3 linked regions of the Alligator mississippiensis genome follow. The protein of the gene in region 1 purifies or fractionates together with the protein of each later gene. This does not show direct contact. Links are inferred from orthologs where the notes say so. Each region holds a gene or a part of one and is shown on either strand. Other genes may lie near its edges.

Region 1 (7,409 bases):
TTTTACTGCGACAGACAGGTGCGAGGTCTCCGGAGAGTCACACCAATGCGATGATGAAGCAGATAACGAATGAGGTAGTGACCCCCTACCCTGATGCTTCAGAAAGACTCTCACAGGATGAACATGAAGGCAGCTGGCCCATCTAGAAACAGTTTGGGAAGCTGGCCTGAGCAAAGCATTAGGAAGTAAGAGGCAGGACTCAGCAAGGAGAAAGGGGCAGAGCTATTCTAAAAGGAAAAACCCTACTGAACCAGGAAGCAGGAGCCTCTGTGTGGGCAGCTCTGGACAAGTCACTTTTCCCAGAGCGTGTTTCGGCTCCTTCATAACTGGATTGCTCCTCTCAACTCTCCAGGTAAGGGAGGAGTGTCAACGCGCTGCTCTGAACCTGCCACACACGATTCCCAGACAGACGTTCATTAGAAATAGGGAGGCTGCTGGTTGTGACTGTAGATGGGACTGATTGCAGCAGCAGCCCACCCAGGCAGTCCTGACCATCGTAACACAGCGAAACAAGAAACCCAAGATGTGCAAGCTACGGAGCCAGCTAAGCTCATCAGGTGAAGCAACAGGTGAGCTAATGAGATGCAGGCTCTCCATGAGCCACACCTCCTCTGGAGGATGGGAAGTTCAGAGCGGCTAAACTTTAGAGCCACGAACTTGATGGAGCCAAGAGAGATCCTGTAAGTCAGAAACCAAAGAAGCTCGCTGTGGTACTGAGGCGATCGATGGCAAGCCTCAGGCTGGCTAATGGAGAGCGCTGCGAAGTGACATCACCGCAGGGAACAAAGCCAGCACAAGTTCTGCAACAGAAGGGATACAGTCCTCTCCAACCAGGGAGGAGTCCTGAATGCAAGTCATGCCCCCCCTGTACAGAGCACGTACACTCGAGGACCCTCTGATACGACTCGATCTACTGGAGCAACCCAAGGCACCACTGCAAATCACAGCCTGTCTCTTAGGACACAAAGGCTGGCTGCGGGGGTCTGGGGTTGGTACTGTGGGGCCGGCATCGCGTATACGTTACAAAAACAGAAAAGGAAACAGGCAGCGAGTTGAAGCTCAGAGACAAGACAGCGATGAGAAATGAAAAACTTGGGAAGGATTGTGAGAAGGCTCAAGTATCATTCAGCGCACCGGGGGTTGAGCAACACGCTGGCAGGTGACACCTAACTTGAGTCAACATGAGCTAATTCATCAGAGGAAGAGAGTTTTCACACTGAAGGACTTTGAACTTGCACAATCCAGAGAGAAGAGACGCTACCAGCCAGACGAAGCAGGTTACGGGGCGCACGGCAGCTCACACAGCGAGCGAAAGGCTTGGGTGCACTAACAGTTGGAGAGGATGCCAAATGCTGGCACGTGTTCATCCAGACGAACGGGGCCAGCTGCAAGCCACCTCAGCTCAGAAATGCGGTGGAGGATGAATGGGCGCACAGAAAGGAAGTGAGAAGTCAGGCGGGTCGCATCATGGCTTCTTGCGAAAGTGAAAACGTTGCTTCACCCAGAGAGGAGAATCAGAGGGACCGAGAGCTTGACAGCTCCAAAAAGCCCCGTGCCGACGCACGAATCGTCGCTTTCTTTTCTCGTGGAGGCCTGCGACAGGCGTGCCGTTTTGGTTTTAGAGATGCGTAGGTCCGAAGCGTAGCGCGCACGGCACGCGCCCATCCCTCTCCCTAGCGCCGTCCAGGGGTCCGGCCGTAACCCCCCGAGCGGCGCAGTCCAACCAGTGCCCGATCCCAGCTCTGGGCAGAACGGTCCCAGCCCTAAACCCCGCGTTTCCCCATTCAGAGACCCCCGTCCCTTCCTTTACAAGGGAAGCTCTGTCTGCCAAAAAGAGAAGGGGAAAAAAAAAAGACTTAACGATGATGCCGCCGATCATCTGCCCCGTGGTAAAGCTGTTGCTTTACCCCGTAGGTGACGCAACCCAGGCTGCGCTGCGGTACGGTTCGCAGCGCGACCACGTGCGGGGGACACAAGAGACGTTTCCAGCGCCGGTCGGCCGGTCTCCTGACAGCGACGTCGCCCGGCGAACGGAGACGGGACAACGTCGTATCCGAGCCGGCGGAGGCCGGCTTTCCGTAACGAACCTGACACGAGTTTCGACCTCTCCGTGCCGGTAAACCGTTTCGCATCGACCGATTCGACCGCATCGCTCCCGCCGGGCGCCCGTTCGCTGCTCCACGGAGAAGGCTATATTTACACAAACACCGCGCACGCGACGCGGCTTCCCCCCCGAAGCTGGTCTAGGGGCGCCGGCCGGGCGAACCCCTAACATTTATTGAAGTCCGAGGACCAAAGCGGGGCTCGAACGGCAGCCTGCTGGGGGGCTGCAAAGAGCGCGGCGCGGCGCGGGACAGGACAGGGGAGCAATGGGCTTCGGCTGCAGCAAGGAAAGTCGAGGTTAAATGAGGAAGGGGTTTCCCCCGAGGAGGGGTGCAGGCTCCACCCTTGGGGGGGTTGAGGCCCCGGCAGACAAAGGAGGATGAGTTGGAGCAGGGGGGTGGCTTCAGCGTGGGCCAAAACCATCCCTTGCACCCCCCAGGAAGCAGGAGCAGGCTCAGGCCGTGGGACACGCACACCAGGCCAAGGCCTAGGCCGCACGCCCCTCCCCCACCTGGGGGCGGAGCAGCGCCGGGCCCGCCCCCCCTCCCGGGCCTGCATGACACAGCGGGATCGGGCCCAGGCCTCGGCCCTCGCTACGCATGCGCGGGGCCCCTCGGAACGGGGTGCAGGGAGGGGGGAGTGCGCATGCGCGCGGGCCCCCTAGAACGGGGTGCGGGGGAAGTACGCATGCGCGGGGGCCCCTCAGAACGGGGTGCGCGTGGCAGTGCGCATGCGCGGGGGCCCCTCAGAATGGGGCGCGGGGAGAGGCCTAGGGGTGGCCCTGCACTCACTCGGATCCCGAGGCCATGGCGGCGGTGGCGGGCGGCGGCAGGCAGGGATGGGCTCGGGCTCTGGCGGCGGCAGCTGCGGGCGCTCGGCTCTGACTGCGCCTCAGCGCCGACTCATCGGCGGGGGAAGCTCCGCCCGCCGCAGTCTGCCTAGCAACCGGCGGCCGCGCCCAATCGGAAATTCGGGGCCGGGGCGCCTCCGCCAATGGGAAAAAAGAGCCAATCATCCAACGGCTCCCGGTCCCGCGCCGCCAATGGGTGCGCGCGGAGCCAGGTGCGTTGTTCTGCCCGGCAACGCGGCGCGGATCGGCCAATGGGAAAAATGCGCCAATGGGAAAAATCGGCCCGTGGGGGCCGCCCTTTTCGTCATTCTGCCTAGTGAGCCCCGCTCCATTGGCTGCTGCCCAGGGAGTCAGCCAATGAGGGAAGGCGGCGCGATGATTGACAGGCCTGCTGATCCTTCTAGGGAGACACGTGCTGCAGGGGCTCGAGGGCCCAGGGCAGGGGTGCAGCAGGGCCATGCAGGGGCAGGGGCTTGCACAGGCTGAGGGGTGTGCACCCCTTCTTGCACCCAGGGTGCTTATGGCCCTTGCCCCTGGCACTGAACCGGCTGTCCAGGGTGCTCAGACACACGGCAAAGGGGTTGTGCCTTGCGGCCCTGCGCTGGGGAGCAGGGACAGGGCGGTGGCAGCGCCAAGGGATGTCGCTTCTGCACAACACGGTGGAAGAGCAGTTGTGGGCCACGGGCAGGCATCACTCAACGGCGGGGAGCACACGTCACGGCACGTCGGCAAGCGCGGCTACTCCTGCCGCTGTCTGTGGGGACGCGTCGGCTTCGCAAAGAGACTGGCAGCTTCCTGCGTTCGACTCCTGCAAGGCGCAGGGCAGGGCAAGCCGTGCGGGGTGTGAAAAGCCAGCGTGTGCCGAGTCGAGGCAGACGGACACCAGTGCAGCGCCCCGGGGTCGGTCCTGGGCCCGGGTTCCTTCAACATCTTCATCAGTGACCTGGAAGATGGGATGCGGCACACCCTCCGCAAGTTCACAGACGACACCGAGCTGGGGGGAGCAGTAGATACGCTGGAGGGCAATGCTGGGATTCGGAGAGACCTCGACACACTGGAGGATTGGGCCAAGAGGAATCGCATGAGGTTCAACAAGGACAAGTGCAAAGTCCTGCACCCCTGCACCGGTGCAGGCTGGGGTGACGGGCTGGGCAGCAGCTTTTTAGAAAAGGCCCTGGGGGGACAGGGGACAAGAAGCTGGACAGGAGCCAGCAGTGTGCCCTTGGTGCCAAGAAGGCTACCGGCGTCCTGGGCTGCATCGGTAGGAGCGCTGCCAGCAGATGGAGGGCAGTGATTCCTTCCCCTCTATTCAGCACCAGGGAGACCACATCTGGAGTCCTGTGTCCAGCTGTGGCCCTACTACAGAAAGGCTGTGGACACACTGGAGAGAGTCCAGTGGAGGGCAATGGAAATGGTTGGGGGCTGGAGGACAGGACTGGTGAGGAGAGGCCAAGGGACCTGGGCTGATTGAGTCTGCAGAAGAGAAGACCGAGGGAGGATTTGACGGCGGCCTTCACCTCCCTGCAGGGGGGTGCAAAGAGGATGGAGCTGGGCTGTTCTCCATGGGGGCAGACGACAGGACAAGGAGCAATGGGCTCAAGCTGCAGCAAGGGAAGTTGAGGTTGGATATAAAGGAAAACTCTCTCAGAAGGAGGGTGGTGAAGCACTGGACCAGGCTCCCTAGAGAGGTGGAGGAGTCTCCATCCTTGGAGGTGTTGAAGACCCGGGTAGACAAAGCCCTGGCTGGGATGATGTAGCTGGGGCTGGTCCTGCTTGGAGCCGGGGTTGGACTGGATGTGACCTCCTGAGCTCCCTTCCACCCTCCTGCTCTGCGATTCCAAGGCAGCTCACAGTACCTCGATTATAAACCAGTGGACTTAAAAAGTAGCTGGGAAATCATTTTCACCCAGTGGGGAGATGCTAGTCCAGCCCTGTACAGATCAGTCCCCCATTCACCCTATTCCAGAAGAAAATAATAGCTCATTAAACTTAGAGACAAGGTAAATTGATGTTTAAAAATGGTAACTGGGCAGCTGTGCAGCCCAACCCGGATTGCTCGGGGAGCTGAGCTCCTTGTCTGAACATGGACAAACACACGTGCACATCCAGGAGCAAGGGCTGTAGTTCAGCTTCCTCGAGGGCAGCGACTGAAAAGGATTTGGGGACCGTGATTCATAAGCAAGGAGCGCTGGGGCTGCCAGCGCAGCAAGGAACAGATTAAGCCGTTGAGGTGCAAGCAGGGGAAGGGCGCGGATGTGGTATCGGTGAGACCATTACCAGTCAGACCCGGGGCACAGTTCTGGTACCAGCCCCACAGGAGGGATATGGATAAACTGAGCGGGGCTCAGAGAAGAGCTGCAAGAAAGGTGTGGAGTCTGGAAGAGCCCTGGCCACGAGAGACAAAGGAAACTCAACTGACTGAGTTCAGACGTGGGCCTGGTACAGTCTGCAAGACCTTGCGCAGAGACTCCCCCGGGCCGGGGTGCTCAGATGTATCCTGGAGTCATCGTCCTCAGGGCTGGGGACGAGGCAGGTCGGTGCCTCTCTGGAGAGCTGGTTTCGCCACCGTCCTAGTGAGGAAGTTTTTCCTAATATCCAACCTCAACTTCCCTTGCTGCAGCTTGTGCCCATTGCTCCTTGTCCTGTCGTCTCCCGCACTGAGACCAGTCCTGCTTGGTGCCACCCCCAGCCGGGATGCCCTGGCACTAGCCAGCTGGGGAGCAGCAAGCCCCTTACTTCCCCTCTGCCAGGTGCTGTCCCTGGGCCGCGTTCTCGGCGTGACAAGCCATGGGCGCTGCTGTGACACACTGCTGTCTGCCTGGCAGATGGCAGCGCAGACCAGGCGTGTGCGTGCCAGCTCCCCGAGGCTGCCAGGTGCCTGCTGGCTGTTCCCACGAGCCCACGCCACGTCCCAGCCAAGCCGCTCCCACATGGTGCCGTCACCAGCCAGGTGCCACACGGCCTCGCGGACGGGTTCAGGGAGCCTGGGTCCTCTCCACCACCTCGCTCACGCTGGGAGCAGCTCAGCGTAGCACCCCGCCAGCCCTGGGGTTCGGGCAGTGCCCAGCGTGATGGGGGCCTGGCAGTGCCACTGCACCGGGGGGCAATGTGGAGGAGGATGCACTTGCCGACACCTCCTGCCCTGCAGCACAGGCGGCCCAGCCAGCTGTGGGGCAGGGGAGTGTCTTTCACACACACACACCATCAGTGGGACTGACACACACGCACCCCACGGTCCCTGGGAGATGCACACACTAACACCCCCGTGCAGCACTGTCAGTGGGAACATACACAGACACACGCCACTGTCCCTGAGAGCCACAACCACACACACACCCACCCACCCACCATCACTGGGGGTGACACATTCCCCCCACATTATCAGTGGGGGTGACACACACACCCCACTAACAGTAGGAGTGACACCCCCCCACTATCCGTGGGACACACAGACACACACCCGCACGGGATGGAGAGACCCTGCACGCTGCCCTGCAGACTGCCCCCGGATGCCCTCCATCCGGCACCGTGGCACCGTTACGCACACAGAGCCCTGGCACAACAGCCCCGGGGTGTTGGCCGAGTGTTTCACAGCTGACGCCCCCCAGCTCTACGCCTTGCCCCGCAGGGTGCCTGGGCCAGGCCTCTCCTCCCTGCGTGCAGGGGCGAGGAAAGCCGGGCCGGACAAGAGCCCCCACAGGGAAGCATCCTGCCAGGTCCTGGCCTGGAGAGGTGCCCAGCGGGAGAACCAAGACAGCTGGCCCTGCTCCGGGCACCGGCCGGTTTCTCTCCGTGGTGCTGGCACATCTAAGGGCAGGGACAGACACACGCCCTGCTGGAACATGGGCTGGTTTTGCGCCACGGCTTGCCAAGCAGAAGGCAGGGCAGGGTGGCACCTCAGAGACTAATTTGCTCGGAGAGGCAGGGGCTCGCTCATCGCTGTCCTCACCGGGCATTATCGAAGTCTCGGGCTGCGTCACAGCCAGGAGATCCCAACACCAGTCCTCTCTTAAATTACCACGGGCTCGGTTCGGTGGCAAAGGCTCAGCCAGGTTTCTTGTCTCAAGGCACGGCCATAACACACTTGTGATCTGCTGCACAAGGCGTTAACACACGTGTGCCCGTGACAAAGTGCACCATGTAGGCTCCCCTGGGCTAGTACCAGGTCCCCGTCATTTCTAACTCTCCTTCTATACAGGCCTAAAACCAATGTCGTCCTACTTCCCACCTGGATTTTGAATGTCTTAAGCTGTTGTGTACCAGGAGCTTGCTCCACATCCTGATCTGGGGGTTCCCGTCCCAGCCGTATCACCCCGATATCAGACTATCCCACACCTTGCACAGCCATCCCCACCCCTTCCCATCCCCAAACTTGCTAAATTTTCCTTATGGAAGGTGTTTGCTGGTCAGGCTGACTGGGGATGGAGATGGGGATGATGTGCAGCTTGTCTGGGCA
Region 2 (6,888 bases), on another chromosome or scaffold:
CCCTCTTTTCATCAGTGAAACTGTTGTTGGGGGACGTTGCCATTTTCTGCAAAGAAAAATTAGCTCATTTAAAAATATTTAATTTTAAAGTGGCTTTTTAATAACTGTAGTTCAGCATGCATTCGATCCATATGAATTATGTATTGTTATTAAAACAAGGTTCGTGTAGCAATGTAAATGTAAGAAAGGACTTGGCAGAAAAGGGTCTGATTCTGAAAAGGATGCTCCCTATCCTCCACCAAGACCACAGGGAATTGACGATGCTCTGCACTGCACATGGTTTGACTCAGAGTACAAAGGCCCAATCCTGAACACACACGAACAACTTTCACATGTGTGAGTGGTCCCATTGACTTCCATGATTGCAGGACAGAGCCCTCAAAGACTGTTTCTGCACAGTGCTCAGCCCCGCCATTACCTATGGAAATCCGTAAGTCAAAAGGACTCAGAACCTCAAAAAAGATGCTCAAACCTTGAATGATAACCCCAAGGGAGACAAAATGATAATTTGTTGTTGTTATTATTATTATTAACAACAACAATAATATAGTCCATGTTCCAGGTCAAATCAGCCAGATCAGTTCCAAATTATATCAATTGAGCAGAACTCAGTAGTTCCAAAAACCATATAGATTGAGCAGGCAGAACCCAATCATTCTAAACACCATGTACAGAGCTACAGCCAGCAAGCATCCTCTATCCCTGACTCTCACCCCAGGACTTCAGATACTCTCAAATCCATGGGCAGGCATCCTACGCGCAGGCCCAAGCCCAGAGATCCTGGGATTCAGATGTCCCCATTTGATCTTAGTCCACAAGAGGTTGAGGCACTTGACCTGAGCCAAAAAGCTGAGAAGCAAGAGAAAATTATAAGTTTTGTTGTTAAAAATGTGTCATATAATATATATATATATATATATATAGGTTTTATATGTACAGGTTTTTACACACACACACACACACCTTCTAGTCACTGTTCATTACCTACTTAACTGACCAGAGGAACACCTGCGCACCCGATACAATATACGTGCCCATGGAAAATGCTGAAATACTACAAGAAGATCTAGAGACATTACTGGCAAGACAAAATGGGAAGGATTCCCTGGAAGTATAGGGCCTCTTCTGGCATACCTCTGTTGAGTTAAGGCAAGTTAGCATGTCAAAACTTGGCCCTCTGAATTAAAGCAGGGACAGTTAGGGAAGGCATACAGTAGGCAAGAATAAAGAAGCTGTTCCAAGGGAAGGAGCAGCATGAAAACAGCTGTAAACTTATGAATGGAGTCACACAAATCAATCTGGAGTAACCTCACTCTCTTTGAGGGGGTTACTTTGGATTGATACCAGTAGGATGGAGATTAGCATTTGGCTCAGGTGCATTCATTACCATAAGCAGTCACTTGGGAAAGTATAAAGTCGCATTTTATAATTGGCAAATGCCTGTGCTACAGATGGTCCATATCTATACTACTGCAAAGGCTTTTTCCTTATTGGCTTCTTTCCTATTGTACACCATGTACAAGTGCCCAAGGTGTGCTGAGATGGCACGTCTCCTGCTTTATCACCACAGTGAATCTGAACTTTGCCCTAGCCTGACCAAGATAATGAGCTGTTATGATTATTATATAACTGTCAGTGTGAGGCATCCAGCATTCACAAGAGAAAGGAGCAGGAGAGGCGGGAATTGAGCTGACACAGTCATCCCTGTAAATTAAACTCAGAATAAATAAACCAATTAAACAATATTCAATCAGAGATGCAAAGAAGTGAGCAAGAGTAGAGGCCAGCACAGGCCAACTCCCTGCAAATGTAATTTTTTTTTTTCCAATCTCTGGGCTGATTTTAACTGTGTATGCCTCTGCCTTGCAATTTTGTTGCTGCTGCATGCAGAATAAAACAAGAAATCCCTGCAATAAACCTAACTTATCTAAAAACGAGCACGTTGATTGCTGTGGTCGTCTCCAGAGGATTTCTGAGCACCTTGCAGGCATCCTGCAAATGCTGACAGCTCCACGATGAGGTTCATGGGCATAAAGTTACTCACATGTATAAAGGTTTGTCTGCACAAGGGAAGCTACTGTGAAATCAGCCAGGGTGAGAATTTAAAAGTATGGAGGCTATTCTGCACAAAGGCTCTTTTAGCTTCAAATAAAAGTGTTCACACAGAAGGGCTCATGTGGAATAGCTCTGTCTGGGGAGTGCTTGCATGTGGTTTAGCTCAGTTCACTAAGTGCACAAATCCACTACCCCGCGCAGGGAGTGAATGCAGAATAACGACCGGATTTCAAGTGCCAGCCCAACTTGATTTCACTACAGTTTCCCCAAGAAAGGCAAGCCCCAGCACGACGAACTCTAAGTGAGTCGGCATGGGCAGCTGTTTTGTAGGGCTGTGCAAAGCTTTGTTTCCCAATTCAATTCAGAGGAAATTCGGCCCGATTCAGCAGTCGAATCTCAGAATCCGAATCAAATCAGAGGACTCTTTAATGTCTCTGAATCCAATTGGGACCCTCTGCATTGATTCAAACAGACAACTTTAAATGTTTTTTCTACATACGTGTAGGTGGCAGGTGGCTCGTGAACGCTGTGATGCTGGGGCGTCCTACAGGAGCGTGGGGGGCTCCCCAGCACACTCAGAAGTGGACCAGAAGTGCTTCTGGTTCACTTCCGGTCCTGCTGGGGAGTGTGCTGGGGCCCCCCCACGCCCCCACGGCGTGCACCCAGGGGCCTCCCATGGCCGATTGCCGAGTCGGGGAGGATGCGGGGGGGCTTCTGGCCCACTTCCGGGTTCACTGTTGAGCACGTGGGGGCCCAACTCCCGTGGGACACTCCACGCGCCCCAGCATCGCAGCGATCACGAGCTGCCTGCTACCTCGAGGCACCTAGAAAAAACATTTAAAGCTGTCTGTATGTTCGAATTGACTCGGAGGGTCCCACCTTGATTGGGAGAGATTAAAGGGTTCTCCGATTCGATTCGGATTCTGAGATTCGGCCACCGAATCGGGTCGAATCTCCTCTAAATCGAATCAGCTGCGTCTATGTCCGAATCGCCGATTCTCCAAATCAGCATTGAATCTTCAGATTCGGATGAATCGAATCCGGGAAAGCAATACGCGTCAAAGAATCGAATCGCCGACCCCCGATTCGGACTGAATCCGAATCGACTAGGCCCCGCTTCGCGCTCCCCTGCTGTTTCACAATTGATTTTTTTTAGGTGGTTTCTCCCCTTGGACAAGTCCTGCTGGCTGGCGGGGGCTGGGCTGTATCACCGAACTCAGCTCCAGACTGCGCCCGTCCCGTCGATACACCCATTTCACAGATGCAACCGCCAACCCCCCAGTCCCGCAACAAGCGCCATCATCCAACCCCGGCTGCTTTTCCCTGCCCAGGTTGGGGCTGTGGAGTCAAATAGTATCAGTGAATCTATACACCCCCACCCCTGTCCCAGGGTGGGGGTCCTGGGTGGCCGGGGGCTGGAGAAGGAAGGGGGTAGGACGTGCAATGTCCACTGGGAGCTGCTCCAGGGGCACATCCAGCTGTTGGAAGCAGGGGTCCACTGTGAGAGACAGGCCTTCCACCCTCCTCCACTTCCTCCTTAATGGCTCAGTTTAACCCGCGCTAAACTGACCCGCTCCAACTCCCAGGCGTGTCCAGCCGGGAGGGCTATTGCACGAAGCCGCAGTTGTCACCCCACACCAGTGCAGGATGCAAGGAACGGAGCAAAACCGACACACTCCGCCTCTTACACCCGCCCTGAGGCGACTGCTGGGCGGCCCTAGTCCCTCCGCCCCTCGCCCCGCCCCTCTGGCGGAAGGATCCGGTGCTTCGGACGCTCTTCCCGCCGCTCTGCCTATAAAGGCGTCCCGGCCGGGCGGCGCTGCGCCTGGGATCCGTGCGCCGCCACAGCTAGCTGAGGAGACGGCGGCCATTTTGTTCGGCGCCGGCGCTGCGCGGGGCGAGCAGGGGACGCTCGGGGGCCATGGCAGATATCGACAAGCTCAACATCGACAGCATCATCCAACGGCTGCTGGAGGGTGAGGAGGAGGAAGGGGGTGGTTCCCGCGCGCGTTCCTGCCCCCTCCCCCACCCTCAGGGGACCCAAATATTGGGGTGTGAGGCGCGCCGCTGGGCCCCTGCCGCAGCTCGGGGCTCGTGTGGCACGGCACGGCACGGCACGGCACTGCGCGTGCGGGGAAGGAGCCGCGTGTCCCGCCGCCCGGCCCGCCGGGGTTTAACTTCCCCCTTCCCCCCCCCTTGCGCTGCCAAAAGTCCCCGAGGGTTTGGAGCCAGGTGGGAGAAACCTGCCCCCCGGGCTGCCCTCTCTTGCTGCTTTGCAGCATTTCTCTGGAAATAAACGACCTGCGTGATGCAAAAGCGGGGTGGGGGTGCTGTAGGGACAAAGAATAAGAAATACATCCGTCTTGGGGGTCTTCCCCCCTCCTCCGTGCCAGTGCTGGGGGGCTGCAGTAGGTCTCTGACTCTTGACTGAGCCCCAAACGGACCCGGGAAAGGGCAGCAAGTCGTTCAGAAGTTGTTTTGCGCGCGAGTCTTGATTATCGTTCGTGTTTGGCCGCGTTTTCCTCGCCCGAAACGTCCGTGGTGGTGGGCGTCTTGGAAAAGCCAGTCGTATTGAACTAGTAACGCGTCTCGTCGCTGGCTGGGCTGTCCACGGGAAGGTTGCTCTCTCCGCGAGCTCGCTAACAAGATGCCTCAATAGAGCCGCCGAACTTGAACCCTGTATTCCTGCCGTTCCAGCGGTCGTAACTAGAGTTGTTTCGGGTAACCCTCGACTCTTTGCTAAGGCTCGAAATAGTATTTTCGTGGACGGTGGGGCTGGAAGGGACCTCGTAATATTGCTGGGTCCAGCCCTCTGTCCCGGGGCAGGAAGTCGGTCGGGGTCACAGGATCCCAGCAAGATCAGCGTCCAAATGTTTCTTGACCCCAGGGCCAGCAAGTTAGCTAGGGGTCAAAGGATCCCAGCAAGGTAAATGTCCAAATGTTTCTTGACCCCCCAGCGGTAGGAAGCTGGCTGGGGGGGGTCAAAGGATCCCAGCAAGATCAGCGTCCAAATGTTTCTTGACCCCCAGCGGTAGGAAGCTGGCTGGGGGGGGGTCAAAGGATCCCAGCAAGATCAGCGTCCAAATATTTCTTGACCCCAGGGCCAGGAAGTCAGCTGGGGGTCAAAGGATCCCAGCAAGGTAAATGTCCAAATATTTCTTGACCCCCAGCTGACTTCCTGCCTCATGGGTCAAAGGATCCCACCAAGATCAGTGTCCAAATGTTCCTTGGATGTCTTGAATAGCCTTGTTGTTACTGTCTCCAAGTATGAACAGAAATATGAATGCTTATAAATATTAATGGCAGTTCTCACATCAACTAGTGTTATAGACTTCCTAGACGTTCGGGCTGGAAGGGACCTCGTATAAGATGAGGTGCAGGCCCCTCTTGATGGTTGTTTAGTATATTGCATATTAACACCCACTTGTGTTATAAGCTACACAGCAATTACTTGTCATGGCTTGATTGCTGTTCCGTGCATAACCTCAATAACATGGGATTCTTGTTTGTATTTATTATGTTTTTTACAAATGGAGAACCAAAAGACCTCTTTTTGAATTTGGTCAAGTAGCATTTGTTTTAAATGCAAGGAAAAAAACTGATTTTTTTTTTTTTTAGAATCGGGATGGGACCTGTAAGATCCTCAAGTCCGGTCCCTTGCCACAGGCAGGAGGTTATTGGGCTCAAACAAGCTCCAGCAAGTGCTTATATTGAAGGGTCTTGTTAGCAAGCTCTTACAGACCGTTTTGAGAGAGCAACCTTCACACTCCGACCTCCCCAAAGGCCCAACCAGCAAATTATGTAGATTTACAAGGTAAATTGTGTTTTGCAAAATACACTGTGTCTATAGTTTTGATTGTCCCCCCCTCCCCATAAATTTAGAGAGGAGCATGGGCATTGCTTTGTAGTTGACAAACTTTTTTTTTATACTTTAAGTTCAACTTTTTTAAAAGTTGATGTAAATACTCTTTATACTCTGTTTCTTTCAGTGGCTATTTCTTAATTTGTTTTTATCACATCCTTCCCCACTTCCTCTTCAAAAACAATCTTTGTTCTCAGAGCAAATTCCTCCTCCAATTATAACTATAGTTTTGGTAGCATGACTGAACTTTCACGCAACTGCTAGTTTTCATTTGGGTGTACACACTATGGTACACCCCAAAATTGGATTTCCTTAGATGTGTGTGCCTTCAGAGTGGGTTCTCCCTTAACTAAATGTCATAGTCCATCACCGTGAATGCTACAAAGCACTCTGTTTAGTAACAAGACATTTCACATGTTTGATCCCAGACAACATACTCATGCATTCTTGTAGGCAATCGGTAGTGATTCTAGATAAATCTGTTAATAAACTTTAAAGATATGAATGGGGTAGTTTGAAGCTAAACATCTTTCTTTAACAGCTAATTAAACCTAAAGTTGGTGAAGAAACTTCATGGCACTCTTCACATCAAAGTGCTGGGCCATAAAACATTGTTTTTGGTATTTATGATACACTTTAGGTCTCAGACAAATAGCGTAAGACTAGAGTAACATAACTAGGACACATTTACTTTAATTGTTAAAGCACAGTAAAACGACTAAGTGGAAGATGAAAACTGGGAGTAACCTACTATTTTAAAAATAATATTTGCCAATAATGTAGCTGTTATTTCTGTCTCAAGAAACAAACCCCAGCTTTTGTCATGATAGCTTTTTTATGAAAATCTAGATTGTAACACTAGTTGAATTTAGTTATGCAGTTTTCTATGATGCCTGCGTAATCTTGGATCAGATTATATTTGCACATTCAAAATATACAAGATTGACAAAAACAGAAACGTACTTTGTCTA
Region 3 (7,785 bases), on another chromosome or scaffold:
GATCTCTGATGCCTCATGTGAAATGACTTAATTTCAGTAAGGCTTCTATGTAGCAGGTGTCTCACAGAGCAACCGAAAAATAGACACAAATACCCTCTCCTTGAAAAGTCATCCCTCCAAAATGTTCATCCTGCAGTAGGTACTTTTGAGCAGATCAGATCTACTCCACTGGTTTTGTTCTGTTTGATTTATGATGTGAGGTTGCAATCATACAATAAATGAAAGAAAAGTATGGAGCAAAGGACCATAGCACATTTGCCAACAGTTTAAAATAATAGTAACAGCTTTCTAAGCTTTAACAACAAATATTTAAAGGGAGGTTCCCTTAAACTGACCAATTTAAGAAAATCTATTTAATGGTAAAGTACATGTATAAATGGATTTTTTTCTTAAATATCTATTTTTCAGTTAGGAAACATTTTAGTTTTTTTCAACCTCCAGGATTTTTATCATCTCCCCATCAAGAATCATAGATGTTGATGGCAAAAACATATGAAAGGTTTGTAGCATGAGCTCAAGTGACTGATACATGTCCCATGAAACTCAAGATGAAATTGGGGGTCTGGAGGGAGGGAGGGAGGAGAGGAGGGAGCAAGATGTACTTTCCCACCAACTATTTTTAAGTGGAATAACAACTAACAGCAGTTATCAACCTTTTTGGACTCAAGCCATCCTTGGAGGACCCTTCCAGTCTTACTTCTATATAACACCCTCTACACATTACAGGTATTGCACGATTAAATGGTTAATTACACAATTACCTTAAGGCCAACTACACGTGTAAAGTATTAATTACACAGAAAAAAGTTCCAACCAGTTATAAAGTTAGATCTTGAAAATGCGTACTAACTTTATAGCTGGTTGCTACTGAACTTTTATTTGCACTTGTAGCAGGGTCTCTCTTCCTTGTGGCTGGGAGCCCCATCAGCTGACAGGCCTCCTGACCGCAGAAGTGCACCATACCTAGTATATGTATATACCTACACCCCAGGGTCCTGGGGGATCACGACAGCCGTGAACCCTAGGGCCTGGGAGTTTCACACACCCCTGAGCCCTAGGAATTGTGGCAGGGATTCACACACCCTTATGCCTTGAAGATTGCAGCTGCTGTGATCCCCCATGGCTGGAAGCCCCCCAACTGAGGGGACACCCAGCAGCAAAAGGTTGCCTCCAGCAATAAGGCGCGATGGGATTTAATGTACGATCCCCTAATCGTGCCTGCTGCCATGCACGTGCAGCATGACAAGAGGTGCGCTTGTGTGTATCATGCCTTAGATCCCATCGTATTTTTACCTGCATGTGTGGAGGGGGCCTATGACTTCTCTATGACTCTGCAACTTATGTGAACTGCGGCTTCTTACAGACATGAAAAAAAATAAAATGAGCACATTAAGGTTGGTACACCCCTGCACCAAGCACAGCTCATGCCCAGAAGAGGTATTTCATTAGTTTGACCTGGCTCACCCAACATCTGTATAGATCAGGAGCTCCAGTGGGGCTTTTTGGTGCTTTTAGTGAATAGCTGATTGAACCAGCTTTAGATAAAAATGCCAAAAAGCCTCACTGATACGCCTGATCTATACAGAGGCTGGGCAGCCAGGTCAAACTAATGTGCTTCCTCTTCTGGTAAAGCGCTATTTTTTTTTTCATGTCTGTCAGCAACCCTAATGGCACATCATTTCACAAAACAGTTAATTGCTTACCATGTTTGCCTCCTTGCAGAGGGGACTGGCAGAGGGGATGGGGGCTCACCCCACTTGGGATAATCCTGCACCTGTGCTCCTCTGCTTAATTCATCTGCTTTCTAGGGAAGATGTTTCATGTCAAGGATCCCATGTTGGCAGGGGAAGTAGGAATCAAAAGCTAGTGAGTGGTGGACTCTGCATCCCTGGAGGTTTTTAAGACTGGGCTGGACAAAGTCTCAGCTGGGATGATCTAGTTGGGGATGGTCCTGCTTTGAGCAGGAGGTTGGACTAGATGGACCTCCAGAGGTCCCTCCCAACCCTAATTTCCTGTGACTTGTTGCAGCTGATTCGCTCTTACCTGGGTCTGCGAACAGTCTCAGAGCCCTCCTTGTCTTTCTTTTTCCACACCTGTCCCCCCACTAGCTTTTGATTCCTAGTGCCCCTGCCAACATGGGTCCTTGACATGAAACACCCCCCCCCCAGAAAGACAGACCTCCAGTCATTCACAACCCAAGTGTCTCCCCAGGGTGTCAGCAGATCTTTATTTATTTTTTTGGAAGGGCGGCAGGAGCGGGGAGATCAGGAAGGTGGTTAAGGGGAGAAGCAGATTAATTCAGCACAGGAGCACAGGTGCCCGCTTGTTTTTAAGACCCAGCTGGACAAAGCTTGGCTGGGATGATCCAGTTGGGGCTGGTCCTGCTCTGAGCAGGGGGCTGACTAGATGAGCCCCCCGAGGTCCCTTCCCACCCTCGTTTTGGATGAATATCTCTAACCTCAGCTCCCCTGGCTGCCACTGGAGACACTGCTCCTCGCCCTGTCACCTGCCACCAGGGAGACAGCCGGCGCAGCCCCATCTGTGCAGCCACCCTTCAGGCAGGGGCAGGCTGCTACCAAGTCCCCGCTTCTCTCAGTCGGGCTGAAACCAAGCCCCGTCCCCTCAGCCTCCCCTGCAAGGCCACGTGTTGAGTCACAGCCTTCAGCTTCCCAGCGCGGAATGACCTCCAGGACCCCCACACGGAGGTGAGGCGCGCGGGGGGTCCCCGCCGCTGAGGGAGGGGGCGGGGGGGGGTCCCGCCGGGCCGGATGAGCCGGGCGGGATCACCTGACATGGGGGGGGAGGGGAGGGGGCACGAAATAATAAACAGCGGCGAGAGGCGGGGACCGAGGCCCGGACCCTGCCCCGCACTTACCGGGTCGGGCGTCTCCACCACGTCCTCGGCGGCGCCCCCTAGACAGGGCAGGCACAGCCCCATGCCGCTGCCCCCCGCCCGCTCGCTCCACCGAGCCAGCGAGCGAGCAGCGCCCGCGCCGCGCCGCCCCGCCCCGCGCCGGGACCCGCACCCCGACCGGCACCGGGCACGGCGCCACCTGGCGCCCTGGAGCCGCCGCGGCCTGGCACCGCCCAGCACTGCCCCGCGGGCCGCCCGCGCCTCTAACCCCGGGGGTTAGTCACAGACAGTGCGGAGCCGGGCGCGGGGACTGCGGGGGGCACGGTGCGGGGTACAGAGAATTTTTCCAGCAGTGCTGCTGGCACATGCAGGTGCCCCACTTGCGCTTCCTGGTTAGCCCTGTAATTCCTGCCCTGTAATTCTCATCCTCTATTTCGCGTTGTGTCCGGCTCTACTTAGTGCATTATAGTACGGAACACAGAATACATAGGACATTATGCATAATACATAGTACAGAATAGTACAGAATCCATAGTACATAGTAGTACAGAATACATAGTTGCATTATACATAGTACAGAATACACAGTACATTATACATAATACATAGTACGTAACAGTACAGAATACATAGTACATAATGGTATAGAATACATAGTACAGAATATGTAACACATAGTACAAAATACAGGCAACCCCCGCTGAATGCTGTTTTGCTTAGCACTCTTTTACTATAACACTCATTTTAAATTGATACCTGGTTTCACTTAGCACTCATCAAGTTTTGCAATAACACTCGTGGTCGCCATCTTGGGTCATTAAAAACAAATGCAGTCGCCATCTTGGGTCATCAAATACTTTCGGTGTCGCTTAGCATTTGTTTCGCTTATTGCTTGGATTTTCAGGAACCAATTAAGAGCACTAAGCGGGGGTTGCCTGTACATAGTACATAGTATAGAATAGTACAGAATACATAATACAAAGATTAGTGTTGGTCTAATAAAAGATATCATCTCTACCAGGAGTCCTGACTGATTAATACAAAGTACAGAATACATAGTACATAATAGTACAGAATACTTAATACATAGTACATTATACATAGTTACAGAATACATAGTACATAGTAAAAAATACATAATACAGTACATAGTACATAATATGTAGTACAGAATACATAGTACAGACTAGTACAGTATAGATAATATAGCACATTATACATAGTTACAGAATATATTATACACATACAGAATACAGAATATATTATACATAGTACATAGTACAAAATACATAATACAGTACACACTACATAATACGTAGTACAGAATACAAAATGGATAGTACAGAATAGTACAGAATACATAATACATAGTACATAATAGATAATACATACCACAGAATACATAATAGAGAAGTAGAGCCGGACAGCATCTCAAGAGGTCATGTAGTGCAGCGTTTCTCAATCCATGGGTAATGACCCAAAAGTAGATCGCAGGAATATATGAAAGGGTCCTGAACCCTCTAGGGAGTCCCTAGAGAGAGAGGCGGGGAGCCTGAAGGGGCAGGGTGGAGGTTATGGCATCATAGGGAAGCAGGGCTGGAAGAGACCCCCACAAAATGGGTCTAGTTACCTGCTGGAGGCAGGTTCATCCCTGACTAAACCATCCCAGAAAAGTGTCTGTCTGACCTGCTCTTGAAAACGTTTAAGGATGGAGAGTCCATAGTTTCTTTAGGAAGTCCATGCCAATGCTTTATCAGCCTCCTAGTCAGAGACCATCCCGCCATCTCCAACCTAATCTTCCCCTGCTGCAGCTTGCAGCCACTGCTCCTCATCCTATCCTGTACTGTCACAGAGAAAAACCCATTACAATATCCTTAGAGCAGGGGTGTCACCCTCGCCTCAAGGCCACCAACAGGATTCAGCCCATGGGGCACCTTGTGGGCATAGGCAGATTAATGCAGGCCTGCAGGGCCCAGCCCCAGGGGCCTCTGCTAATCAGGGGTCCCTTGATGCCTGGGTTCTCTTGGGAAACAGTGGGTTTCCCTAAGCACATGGGCAGCGTTCTAGCCTGCAAGGGGTCCTGCTTGGGGCTGCCAAGAGTGAGACGCAGGGGGCACTGCATGCATGTGTGTGCGGCCACATGCATGCACATGGCCAGGAATGCAGCCCGGTAGCATGGAGAGCAACTCCCTGCAGGTAAGTGAGGAAAGGGTATGGGAGAGGGAAGGGGTGCAGGTGGTGCAGATCGAGGTCCCCATGATGAGAGAGGGAGTGGGGCAGGAGCTGGGGGCACTGCCCAGCATTGGCGATGCATAGGGGGTGCACCCTCTGAGATTGGCCATGCACCCCTTGAAGCACCAGCCATGAAACCAGAAGTGCATCCCTGGGACCCTTCCCCCCCAGTGGGGGAGGCACCCATGCTGCCCAGCCATGGTGGTGCATGGATTCTGAGGTGTTGCAGAGAGCAGAATGGAGCCATGCGTGGCTCATCCAGGGGGCACGGAGAGGGAGGGGGGACAGCTCCCTGCTGCGGCATGCACCCACTGGTGGTGGCATGGAGAGCATGTGCTCCCTCATGTTTGTGCACGTGGCAAATGTGGGCTGCTTGCTGTGGGCTTGGGGCTCTCCACTCTGCTGCCTTTTCCTTGGAAGCCTTGCAGTGGCCGTGCACCCCCTGCCCACCCAGCAGCAGTGGGGGCAACGAGTTATGCCCCCTGCTGCTGGATGGGCAGGGGGCACACAGCTGGTGCAGGGCTCCCAGGTTAGAGGCAACAGAGCTGAGAGCCCCAAGCCCACAGCAAGCAGCCCACATCTGCCCTTGCCCTGCTCAGATGTGCTGTGGATGCGGCAGGGGGGCAGGGAGCAGGGAAGAGAGGTAAGCATGTGCCACCTCACCCCCATCCTGGACCAGGTCTATCCAGCCTCCCCGGTGGGGCATGGAGTCCTGGCCTGCCCTTCGCAGTGGCAGCTGCAGGACAGGAAGGGGCCCCTCCTCCCACTGGAGTCCATACATTCATGGTTATAATGGGTGTGGGGGGCCTCCAATTTTCTATTTGCCCAGGGCTCCAATAAATCTCAATCCAACACTGCTGGTGGGTTGGATCCAAGCTGTGCAGGAGGGCAGCCGCAGCACTGGCAGTGATGTGATGCCCAGAGGCAGCAGCAGCATGAGGGAGGCAGGGGCGGAGGGTCCTGCTGAGGCAAGCCATGCTCAGTGCCAGTGGCCATGTGCCCAGCGGGGCTTAACTGATCACATTTCTAGTGCCCTCCAGGAGCCCAGTGGACTAGGTAGAAGCTCGACAGCTTAGACTGTACTAAGGGCACCTCAAATGTAAGCATCTGCCGGTTAAACCTCAGTAACTTTCTAGGCTTATATATGCCTACAGCTTACCATGAGTATTACCCATGCTTCTGGGCTTTGCTGGTTGCCCCCCTGCTTCCCTTGTCTGCTGTTTTTAAGTCTCCCTTGGAGGCACTGGGTGTTGGCTACAGCCAAGGTTGGGGACTTTGACTAGGATGTGTCAATGCTCCTTCTGGGAGCGAAGACAGAGGTTCCCGGCGGGGGGGGGGGGTTGCCCCTCTGCTCAGGGTCAGACTGATCACCATATTTGGGGTCAGAAGGAATTTTACCCCACGGTCAGATTGGTATGGACTGCGGGAGTTTTTGCCTTCCTCTGTAGTGAGCAGCGTGGCCCTCTACCTGGGAGCTCTCGAGGGTATATTGGCAACATTTCATAGAAGCAGGATGTTGGCTGCTGTGGTTCCCCTGCTTTATCTGTGGCAGGATAGGGTGCTAGGTCTGTGTTGTGTCAGGGTTGATGGTAGCCTTTTATGTAGAGTTTAGATGATAGATTGTACAGGATGGCTTGGATATCTATGATCCTGCCTCAGGCAGGGGGTTGCACTAGGTGACCTCTAGAGGTCCCATCCAGCCCTCCTTCTTTATGACTATATGACTAACTTGTGCTATGTGCCCTCTGAGTGCCTCAGAGTTCCTCCACTTCAGGTAAGGGGTTGGATGTGCTACCCAGCTCATGTGAGGGTAACTTCAGTCTGCTCCACAGAGATAAAACAACCAATTTGCAGTCCTCCAGCATCCTAGGATGCTCCCAGCGCCCCCTCCGTCCACAGCAGGGATGGAGCCCAGGTGTCCTGGCTCATAGCCACACTCCTGATTGTCAGCACTCTAGGGGCAGGGAAAGAAAAGCTGTGCAGACAAGAAACAGTATTAAACTTTGACATGCGACTGCTCATGGCATGTTCTAACTAATAACACTTAACATTGCACAGATTTAGTATGGCCTAGGAGTAGCATGTAACTTCATCCTTAGAGTGTTTATAGACATGGGTAGGGCTCTAGGAGGTGGCAGGGAGGGGCACTTTAATTAGCGCAGCTCCAAGAGCCACACTAATTAAAAGTACCTGGAACATCACATGTATCAGTGTCCCCCCACTGAAAAATAGCAGCAGGGAGCTTTGAACTAAAGCTCGTCAAATGAGCTTTAGTTTAAAGCGTCCTGCTGCCATTTTTCAGCACAGAGACGCTGATACACATGACTCTGGAGCCTGCTGGTAGGTAATCTCCTTGCTCCAGCAGACTTGATTAATGGAATTTGCTCCAACGTGCTGGAATTACAGCACATCAGAGCAGCCTCCCTGCACATATATAGGACCTCTTGGAGAATAACACACTCAGGAAGGCATGAGCTTTCATAGGTAACAGCATCTGATGAAGTAGGCTGTTGCCTATTAAAGCTTATGCCTTTCTGAATAAATCAGTCTCTAAGGTGCCACCCTGCCCTACCTTGCCCTATCTTACATTAATGTAAACCTTATTAGCTGTTTTCCTCGAGCCTCTGCCTTACTGAAATAATGTGGTAAATTTTGGGTGCAGACACACAACACATTTTTGTAGGTATAACACCTAATTA

The links. Proteins that work in one complex are often made in the same cells at the same time.
Region 2: the proteins of VCP (region 1) and PPP1CC purify together in Homo sapiens (affinity purification with western blotting; 3 studies listed by BioGRID, with this or other methods). This does not show direct contact. The link is inferred for Alligator mississippiensis from reciprocal best matches to the Homo sapiens genes VCP and PPP1CC.
Region 3: the proteins of VCP (region 1) and SVIP purify together in Homo sapiens (affinity purification with western blotting; 3 studies listed by BioGRID and IntAct, with this or other methods). This does not show direct contact. The link is inferred for Alligator mississippiensis from reciprocal best matches to the Homo sapiens genes VCP and SVIP.

What each region holds. Positions count from the first base shown.
Region 1 is NC_081826.1:300,918,657-300,926,065, forward strand, and holds the start of VCP (transitional endoplasmic reticulum ATPase), read right to left. Parts: upstream 3,007-7,409; 5' UTR 2,912-3,006; coding exon 2,895-2,911; intron 1-2,894. UniProt on the Homo sapiens protein: Necessary for the fragmentation of Golgi stacks during mitosis and for their reassembly after mitosis. Involved in the formation of the transitional endoplasmic reticulum (tER).
Region 2 is NC_081833.1:3,270,213-3,277,100, reverse strand, and holds the start of PPP1CC (serine/threonine-protein phosphatase PP1-gamma catalytic subunit), read left to right. Parts: upstream 1-3,888; 5' UTR 3,889-3,976; coding exon 3,977-4,031; intron 4,032-6,888. UniProt on the Homo sapiens protein: Protein phosphatase that associates with over 200 regulatory proteins to form highly specific holoenzymes which dephosphorylate hundreds of biological targets.
Region 3 is NC_081825.1:211,470,325-211,478,109, reverse strand, and holds the start of SVIP (small VCP/p97-interacting protein), read right to left. Parts: upstream 3,001-7,785; 5' UTR 2,939-3,000; coding exon 2,876-2,938; intron 1-2,875. UniProt on the Homo sapiens protein: Negative regulator of the ER-associated degradation pathway (ERAD) of misfolded proteins. It competes with AMFR/gp78 for binding VCP/p97, and inhibits AMFR/gp78-VCP/p97 complex formation that is required for degradation of ERAD substrates.